Linked DNA regions of Yarrowia lipolytica. The protein of the gene in region 1 interacts with the protein of each later gene in a biochemical or structural test. Links are inferred from orthologs where the notes say so. Each region holds a gene or a part of one and is shown in the gene's direction. Other genes may lie near its edges. The genes, in order: YALI1_E21983g, YALI1_C33098g and YALI1_D17151g.

The links.
Region 2: of the proteins of YALI1_E21983g (region 1) and YALI1_C33098g, one has a biochemical effect on the other in vitro, tested with the Saccharomyces cerevisiae proteins (2 studies listed by BioGRID). The link is inferred for Yarrowia lipolytica from reciprocal best matches to the Saccharomyces cerevisiae genes HMT1 and GAR1.
Region 3: the proteins of YALI1_E21983g (region 1) and YALI1_D17151g form a complex in vitro, tested with the Saccharomyces cerevisiae proteins (2 studies listed by BioGRID, with this or other methods). The link is inferred for Yarrowia lipolytica from reciprocal best matches to the Saccharomyces cerevisiae genes HMT1 and SCD6.

The regions. Positions count from the first base shown.
Region 1 is NC_090774.1:2,196,689-2,199,764, reverse strand, and holds YALI1_E21983g (uncharacterized protein), read left to right. Parts: upstream 1-1,447; coding exon 1,448-2,428; downstream 2,429-3,076. UniProt on the Saccharomyces cerevisiae protein: S-adenosyl-L-methionine-dependent protein-arginine N-methyltransferase that catalyzes both the mono- and asymmetric (type I) dimethylation of the guanidino nitrogens of arginine residues in a variety of RNA-binding proteins such as heterogeneous nuclear ribonucleoproteins (hnRNPs) and small nuclear ribonucleoproteins (snRNPs).
Region 2 is NC_090772.1:3,308,681-3,310,984, reverse strand, and holds YALI1_C33098g (uncharacterized protein), read left to right. Parts: upstream 1-1,157; coding exon 1,158-1,763; downstream 1,764-2,304. Other genes in the region: YALI1_C33100g (uncharacterized protein), read right to left, coding at 1-766, 825-979; YALI1_C33086g (uncharacterized protein), read right to left, coding at 2,030-2,304. UniProt on the Saccharomyces cerevisiae protein: Non-catalytic component of the H/ACA small nucleolar ribonucleoprotein (H/ACA snoRNP), which catalyzes pseudouridylation of rRNA and is required for ribosome biogenesis.
Region 3 is NC_090773.1:1,713,874-1,716,808, reverse strand, and holds YALI1_D17151g (uncharacterized protein), read left to right. Parts: upstream 1-1,188; coding exon 1,189-1,416; intron 1,417-1,686; coding exon 1,687-2,337; downstream 2,338-2,935.

The DNA.
Region 1 (3,076 bases):
ATGATTTTGGACTTTTATTTCATTTTGGACTTTCTTTTTTTTTTTTCTCTTTTTTTTTGACTACAAGTAGCTTATTCATTGGACTACATTCTCAATTGGACTTCATTGCCAACAGGACTCTTCCCCATGGGAATAATACATGACTAAAACTGTACGTCTTAGTCATCCATTGACGGTTCGCGAATCGCAAAATATTCTGGTCGCCGTCGGACTCTGTTGAGTCCAGAATGGCGTTGTAGTCTAGTCTCACTTTGGTTGGGGTTGGATACGGCGCGGAACAACTAACCTCCAGCATCAACAATGGCTTGAAGCATGATCTGGTAAGAATGGGACCATTGTAGCAGCTGTCTCTTGGCAGAGAGTCCCGTCTAGACTGCTTTGATTGGCTGATTGGCTACCAAGCTGGTTACCATTCGACTGTCGACTGTCGACTGTTGACTCCGCCAGGTATATGCCGGTTTACGCTACGAGTAGTGTTGGTGGCTGTTCGGTAAACCAGCCTGTGCCTTACCGGCCGTTGTGGGCGCTATTCGAGCTACGGCCTAGATCAATTCCGGGGAGCATTGAGCGAATACTACGCCATGGGCTGAAAGAGCAACGAGCGAGACTCAACTGGCCTAACAGTCATTGAACTGACTGGATACCGACGAGAGACCCGAAGGAGAATTGCCGGCGATAGTAAGGCTGAAACAAGTTGCAGGTAGGGAAGGGTGACTATCGAGCCGAGTCGAGTCGAGTCGGGTCGAGTTCGGGTTTGGTACGGGCCGACTCCTCAGTCGGTATGAGTTCATTAATGGTCATAGGTGAAACTGTAGCTCCAAGAGATGCTGTCACCAAAAAGGATACCTTTTTTGAAGGTATAAACTAGGAGAACTCACCATCAAGTCCATCGGAAATACCTGTTTCCCCTTACCTGGTCATAACCTGTCCGTACACTGGTCCACGATAACCATCAATGTCACATTACCGCTACGACAAACTTCACAGTATAAAGAAGGAGATGAGGAAATCTCATAATAAACACCCGTAATTGATACGGGTTAATCAGCACGAGAGGTGATTCCCCAACCACCAGTCTGTCGATCAACAATCAATTTCTTGCCGTTTGTTCCACCACCAAATTCGCGATATTCGTCATTCTCGACTCCTACAGGGTTCATGCGAGTGTTGTGAAAAATATCCCATGGTTTGAGCTAAACAGCACGGTCAGGAGGGGGTTATGGTGGTCAGATTTGGACCACGGATATTTCGTTGTGGTTTTTGAAGCCGTAGAAATTGATTCCACAAACAAAAACCGTCATTTTCAAGCCGCAACACCCTCTTTCGGTCTCTGACCCACCTGCATGGTTGGTCGATAAAGTTATCGTGCATAGCTGGGAAATTTTTATAAAGAAGCTTTCTTCTTCTCACCACCATTGTTGACCCGACCTCTTACCGCACACCCACAATGTCCCTCCCATACTCCGAGCAGCACTACTTTTCGTCGTACGACCACTTTGGCATCCATGAGGAGATGCTCAAGGACGAGTCGCGAACTCTGTCGTACAAGCACGCAATTCTGCGAAACCGAGACCTGTTCAAGGACAAGATTGTGCTGGATGTGGGCTGTGGAACCGGCATTCTGTCCATGTTTGCTGCGCAGGCCGGTGCCAAGCATGTCATGGGCGTGGACATGTCCAACATCATCGAGATGGCCCGAAAGATTGTCGATCTTAACGGACTCAGCGACAAGATTACCCTGATCCAGGGCAAGATGGAGGAGATCACCCTACCCTACCAGAAGGTGGACATTATCATCTCCGAGTGGATGGGCTACTTCCTGCTCTACGAATCCATGCTGGACACGGTGCTGTACGCCCGAGACAAGTACCTGGTCCCCGGAGGTATTATCATGCCCGACAAGTCCACCATCTACGCCGCTCTTTTGGAGGACGGCGAGTACAAGGACGAAAAGGTGTCCTTCTGGGACGACGTCTACGGCTTTGACTACTCGCCCTTCAAGGACATTGTGCTGTCCGAGCCTCTGGTCGACACCGTGGACCTCCGACACGTCATCTCCAACCCCTGCCAGGTGTTTGAGATCGATCTGTACACCGTCAAGGTGGAGGATCTGGCCTTCAAGGCCAACTTTGACCTCAAGGCCCGGGTCAACGACACTGCCCACGCTATTCTGTGTTGGTTCGACATTGAGTTCAACAAGCTCACCACCCCCGTCAAGTTCTCCACCGGCCCCCATGCCAAGTACACTCACTGGAAGCAGACTGTCTTCTACATTGACGGCCAGGTGTCTCTGCGAGCCGGTGACGAGGTGACTGGATCCATTGACTGCCGACCCAACGAGAAGAACAACCGAGATCTGGACATTACTCTGGAGTGGGAGTGCAAGGCTGAGAACAAGGGCGGCAAGCGATTTTACTGCATGAAATAAGCTGGCACGACGACTACTGTAGATCCCACTGTCGGCTCACCGAGTGGCAAGCCAAGCTGTGGCTTTCACTGGAACGGTCTAACAAAAAATTATGTATAGAATGTTAATTGTATTTTTTATGACGACTAACAAGCGGCGAGTACAAGTGAGAGAGATGTGGGTGCTAGGAGACCATTTCTGCTCTATTTCTGCTTTGCAGTACAAATCCTACACCCATCTAGTACATACCAACTAAATCTTACTTTTCTTCCACTAATCACACTCAACAACGAGACGCTGAAATGAAGATATCTCTGATTATTGTGGTGTAGAGATTCTCAAAAGTCATTATTACTTATCAAGTTGCTGATCGACTATCCACACAGCAACTTTCCTAGTCTCCACCGTTTCTACAACCCCGTAAATGAACCCCCAGCTGAATTTTCATCCCCAGTAATTTCAACTAACTTCCTCAACTAGATTGTTAAGATTAGAAGCAGTTCTGTCATCGTCTTGACTCCAACAACCGTGTCTCAGTTCGATTTCCGGTTGGAAAATTTTGATCCGAAAAATTAACGAGCCAATCAATCACACCGAGAAACGAAAGAAAAAGACGGCGGTCACGTGACCCGAGCCAAGGGGGGGAAGGGGCGGGGGGGGAGCCGGGGG
Region 2 (2,304 bases), on another chromosome or scaffold:
AAAGTTACACAAACTCGCGAGTCGCAGCTTTTCAGGCAGATTCTCGAATGCATAGAGCTGGAACTTTTCCAGATACTGGGTCTGCAGCTTTCGCACTTGCAGAGGAGTCAGCTCTTCGCCGGAGAAATCGTCCATGGGAAAATGCACGTAAAAATCGAGGGTCTTGAGCAAATCGGCGTTACACTTCTTCAACAATGAACACACATTCTTGGACTTGATAACACTGTTGGCGAATCGTCTTGAGGGGATTTGCGACACAATAGAGATGAGAAAACACAGATATGTGTCAACAAACTCCGTATCGTGCTCCTTCTGTAACATGATGTCTGTAAGTGTCGATAGAAACGAAGACTGTTTATCGATGTCCTCCTTCTTGTCGCCCTTGTCGTAGGCTTTCATGGCGCCTCTCCAGAGCTTCCCCAGTCGCTTGTTTCCCTTGAGCAGGTTCTCTCGCACCTTCTCGTCCATATGCATCCATGTGTAGACCGACACCAATGCTCCTGCCTCTGATCGCACCAACTGAGAGTCAAGCCACTGGAAAGAAACGGTCAGAAACCGCAGTAGTTTGGTTCGCACTTTCTGGATCCGTGTTGGCTTGTCTCCGGCCACGAGATTGAGTACCGTTTTGTAAAAATGGCCAAAATTTTCGGGGCTCTTCTCGAACACCGTCCATAGATCGAATCCGTCATTGGCCTTGGCAAGAACAAGGAGTGCCACGACAATGGCATTTGTGTTGGCCTGTTTCTTGTTGTAAACTGGCCATAATCTGGGTTAGTAAGGAGTTCTAGCGGTGTTTCTGTGTCTGTGCATCTCTCTATACTCACTTCTCTAGTCCATTCAGAGACTCTAGGGTATGCAGGTCGCGATCATTGAAGCCGTTCTTCTCGATGAATTGATAGACTGAGTTTATCGACACGTTATCCTTGTTGAGCAGCGCTGCTAGAGGCGAGATCTTGAGCAGGTCTGTCGATAGGGCCATTTTATTGTCGTCACAGAGGTGATGGCTTAGTCAACAAGCACTACCCTACAACATGGATAGTACACTGCATGAGCAGGGCTAGGGCAGAAAAGTTAATGGGAAAAAATTAGTAGGTGCATACAACTTTTTGACCTTACAGTGAACTCATCACAACCTCTACTACAAACATCACACAAAAATGAGCTTCAGAGGACGAGGCGGATTCCGAGGTGGCCGAACCGGCGCACCCATGCAGATGGGCCCTCCCGATCAGGTGTTTGAGATGGGTGCCTTTCTGCACGCTTGCGAGGGCGATATCGTCTGCAAGTCCATCAATGAGAAGATCCCCTACTTCAACGCCCCCATTTACCTTGAGAACAAGACCCAGGTCGGCAAGGTCGACGAGATTCTTGGCCCCATGAACGATGTCATGTTCACTATCAAGCCCTCCGAGGGCTTCCAGGCCGCTTCTTTCAAGTCTGGTGACAAGTTTTACATTGGCGGAGACAAGCTGCTGCCGCTGGAGCGATTCCTGCCCAAGCCCAAGGCCACCGGCGTTAAGAAGCCCAAGGCTGCTGGAGGACGAGGTGGTGCTCGAGGCGGTGCTCGAGGCGGCTTTGGTGGCCGTGGAGGTGCTCGAGGAGGCTTTGGTGGCCGAGGCGGTGCTCGAGGAGGCTTCGGAGGTGCTCCCCGAGGCGGACGAGGTGGCTTTGGAGCTCCCCGAGGTGGACGAGGCGGATTTGGAGGCCGAGGTGGAGGCCGTGGTGGATTCGGCGGTGGACGAGGTGGCCGAGGAGGTTACTAAGGTCTGTCTGATATCAGCATCAATTAGCCACTTACACAAAGTCTGGGGTGAGATTTCCAAATCCCCACTCTGGGCCCATCGCATGTACTCTTTATTTTATTGATTGTATTATACCTAGTAAAAGTTATACACTTACTGCCACAGACACTTCTCACAGATCGTAATCAATATCGACTTTTGATAAATTTTCAAATTTTCAAATTTTCAAATAAGGTTGCAAAAAATTCACACCCCAAAAAGTTGGTCTGTAGTTGGACTTGAGAAGTTCAGTTACCCGGCAGTTCCTTGGTTTCGGAGATATCGGAGATTAGTGCGGCAGACGATGAGTCGGTCGACGCAGCTCCCTCGCTCGTCAGGTACGCCTTGATGTTGGAGACCATGTATTCTCGCACGTAATCCACATCTCGCTTGAAAACTGTGGTCGCCGCAGTCGCCAATTTCTTGGACCATTCCAGAGTGGTCAACTCCAAGCCCGTGGCCTCGTTGAGCACTGTGGTCGGAGGGAAGCCCACGTTGGAGGCGGTTCCCACAAACCACTCAA
Region 3 (2,935 bases), on another chromosome or scaffold:
AAATCGGCTTCTGCTCTGGTTACTAGTATATATATTTCTCTACTCTCATCACAAAGTGTCTACTGGGTGCTGCAACTGTCCCCTCCCCCCCAATCACCACCAAAACTGTATCCCATTTAAGGGTGCAGATTGGGACAATTAATGGGTTCGAAACTGGTCACATCATTGACAAAATTTTGTCAAAACGTTCAAGCTTAAGAGACGACTCAAGATCCCTTCTATGTCGCGATGTAGTCGAGATATTTGGATTTTGAAACCGACCCCGAGATCGCTGTATCGTCCTCTGCCATCTTCTGCTTTCTCAGTAGCTCTAGCTCCATTTTGCGCCCCATTAGTTGCACTCCAACGGCATTGGATTAGTAAGCGATGAATGGCGGTTGGTATTAGTCAGCAGTAAACTCTGTAGGACTGCAGCGTTACAACTAGAGAGTGCATTTTCGTGGGTTTTCTGGATATCTGGAGTCACGTGATGATGCACGGTCACGTGGATTCCGTCTCATGTGCACCGAGACACCTCTCTATGGATTTTCTTCAAAGTGCCAAAGAAGACATGTACATTCAACTTTGGATGTATATAGTAGTAGTGCATAGGAGATAGCGTAGTATGTGACGGTACAGGTCGTAGAATCCACAAAAGAAGCGTGCGAAAGCCGAAAAATGACCGTCTGGAACACCTCCAGACCACAACTTGGACATTGGACGCCTTAAAAACATGTTCTCTGGCCATGCCTCGTCTCCACTCGTAATCTGTAGATCCCTGCATACTCTCACAGCCTGAGCAGTATGGTACAGCGGTAACAGAGGTTCAAATAACATGAGGATTGCTCTTTGACTCAATCAGCTCACAAATTCCAGAAGCCACCCACAGAGTCAAGCTCCCTGCCAGAATCACACACCTGGACCTCCACTATCGCGCATCCTGTCTAACAGGCCTCCACCTAGGGCAACTCAATTACCCTGTCGTCGGACTCGATCTGATCCGGGCCAGCTCGACGAAAAACTCGTCTATATAAACATTGTCGCGCTCCGCTGTCGCCATCCGAGTCCCACAATCGCTGCCCAGAGTCCCCCAAACACCAGATTCCACACTCCACCACTTTGCCCACCGGGTAACAGTCTCAAACTTACACTTGTCAAAACACAGACGACTCAAAACCCATCCGCCAACACAATTTAAGCCCCGCAAACATGTCACAGTTCATTGGCAAGACCATCTCGCTCATCTCCAACAGCGACATCCGGTACCTCGGCGTTCTCCATGAGATCAACTCCGAGGAGTCGACCGTGTCGCTGATGAAGGTGCGCACCTTTGGTACCGAGGGGCGAACTGGAGGGGCCAACGAGATTCCTGCCAGCGACGCGGTCTACGACTATGTGGTTTTTCGCGGCAGCGACGTGAAGGATTTGAAGATTGCTGTGAGTACACCGAGAGCGAGCGGAGATGATCATGTGCTGATATCTACAGTGACAGCGCCATGACGAGTGACACCACACCAATGGTGGACCCTCACATGTCACGTGTGCTGTACCGTCGACACGCCACTCACCCTTTCAACCACAATGATGAAGCATTAGGATGTAAATTATTTCACCCGAGAGCGCAAAAAACCGTGCGGATATTTCCTGCCTTCCTTCTGATTTTGTGTCTGCCGATACGTTCGGTCTTGTTGAACCCTTCTAACCCAGGACGAATCCGAACTCGAGCCCCAGCAGGCCCCCAAGGAGGAGGCCGAGCAGGTGACACAGAACGAGTCGCCTGCAGCTGCACCAGTGCAGGTCCAGCCTCCCGCTCAGCCGCAGCAGCAATCCCAGCCTCAGGCACAGCCTCAGGTACAGGAGCAGGCCCCTCGAAAGGCACGACCTGAGCCTCGCCAGGAGCCCCGAGAGGCGCGAGAGTCCCGGGAGCAGCGACAGCGAGAGCCTCGAGAACCCCGGGAGCCCCGGGAGCCTCGAGAAACTCCGGCGCAACCCTTTGACTTCTCCTCCAACCAGATTGAGGAGTTCAAGAAGGAAATGACCGAGGACGAGCAGACAGAAAAGTTCTACAACAAAAAGTCGTCCTTCTTCGACAACATTTCGCACTCGACCCGAGAGCAGCAGCGAGACCCCGAGCAGAACCGGGTCAACCGAGAGCTCAACTTGGAGACGTTTGGCCAGACTGATTCGGGGTTTCGACACAACAACTTCCGAGGGGGGCGAGGTGGACGAGGCGGTGGTCGAGGAGGACGAGGTCGAGGAGGTAGAGGTGGCCGAGGCGGCCGAGGAGGTGATGGCATGAGCAACCGGGACAGGGAGACTTTTGGTAGTTTTACCGGTCCTGCTCCGCGGTGGAACTAGACCATAGACGTGCGTATCAGCGTAGCGAGTCGGTCGTCTGTTGGTCGATGTGAGTGTGTTACAAGTACTTGCATCACTTAGTAGTGCATGCACTCGTATCTAGTTCCCGTCCCCTGTATATTTATAGTAATTTATTCATCTCAGACCGAGCAGTGAACCCTGCGATGTCTGAGCATAATGAACTCATGATATGAATGGACAAGAATACGATATCGTGTGGTCAGCAAGATATCAGTACATACCCCAATTCGGTATACAAGTTCTGTTATGCTGTGGGTATTGTAGCTCCTAGAATCAAAAATACATACTCAATACCATGGGAGAAAGAGACAGCTGACGGCAAAGGGGAGTTGACAAATCGATTATCGATACGATTACGAATATATTGTATATTTCGGGGTTCTCATAGCATGGCCACACAGGTTTCTAAGGGTGTAGATGTAGCCTAGATGTTTTACAAGGTGGTGCATATCGCCAACCAGGACATAGGAACGAAGACGGACAAAAAATCATGTAGTGAGCTCGACGAGATGGTATCTGTGTTATTTGAGAACTGGGGAATCTGGATCAGCTCTCTACAGAGTCTCAACTGCTCGAG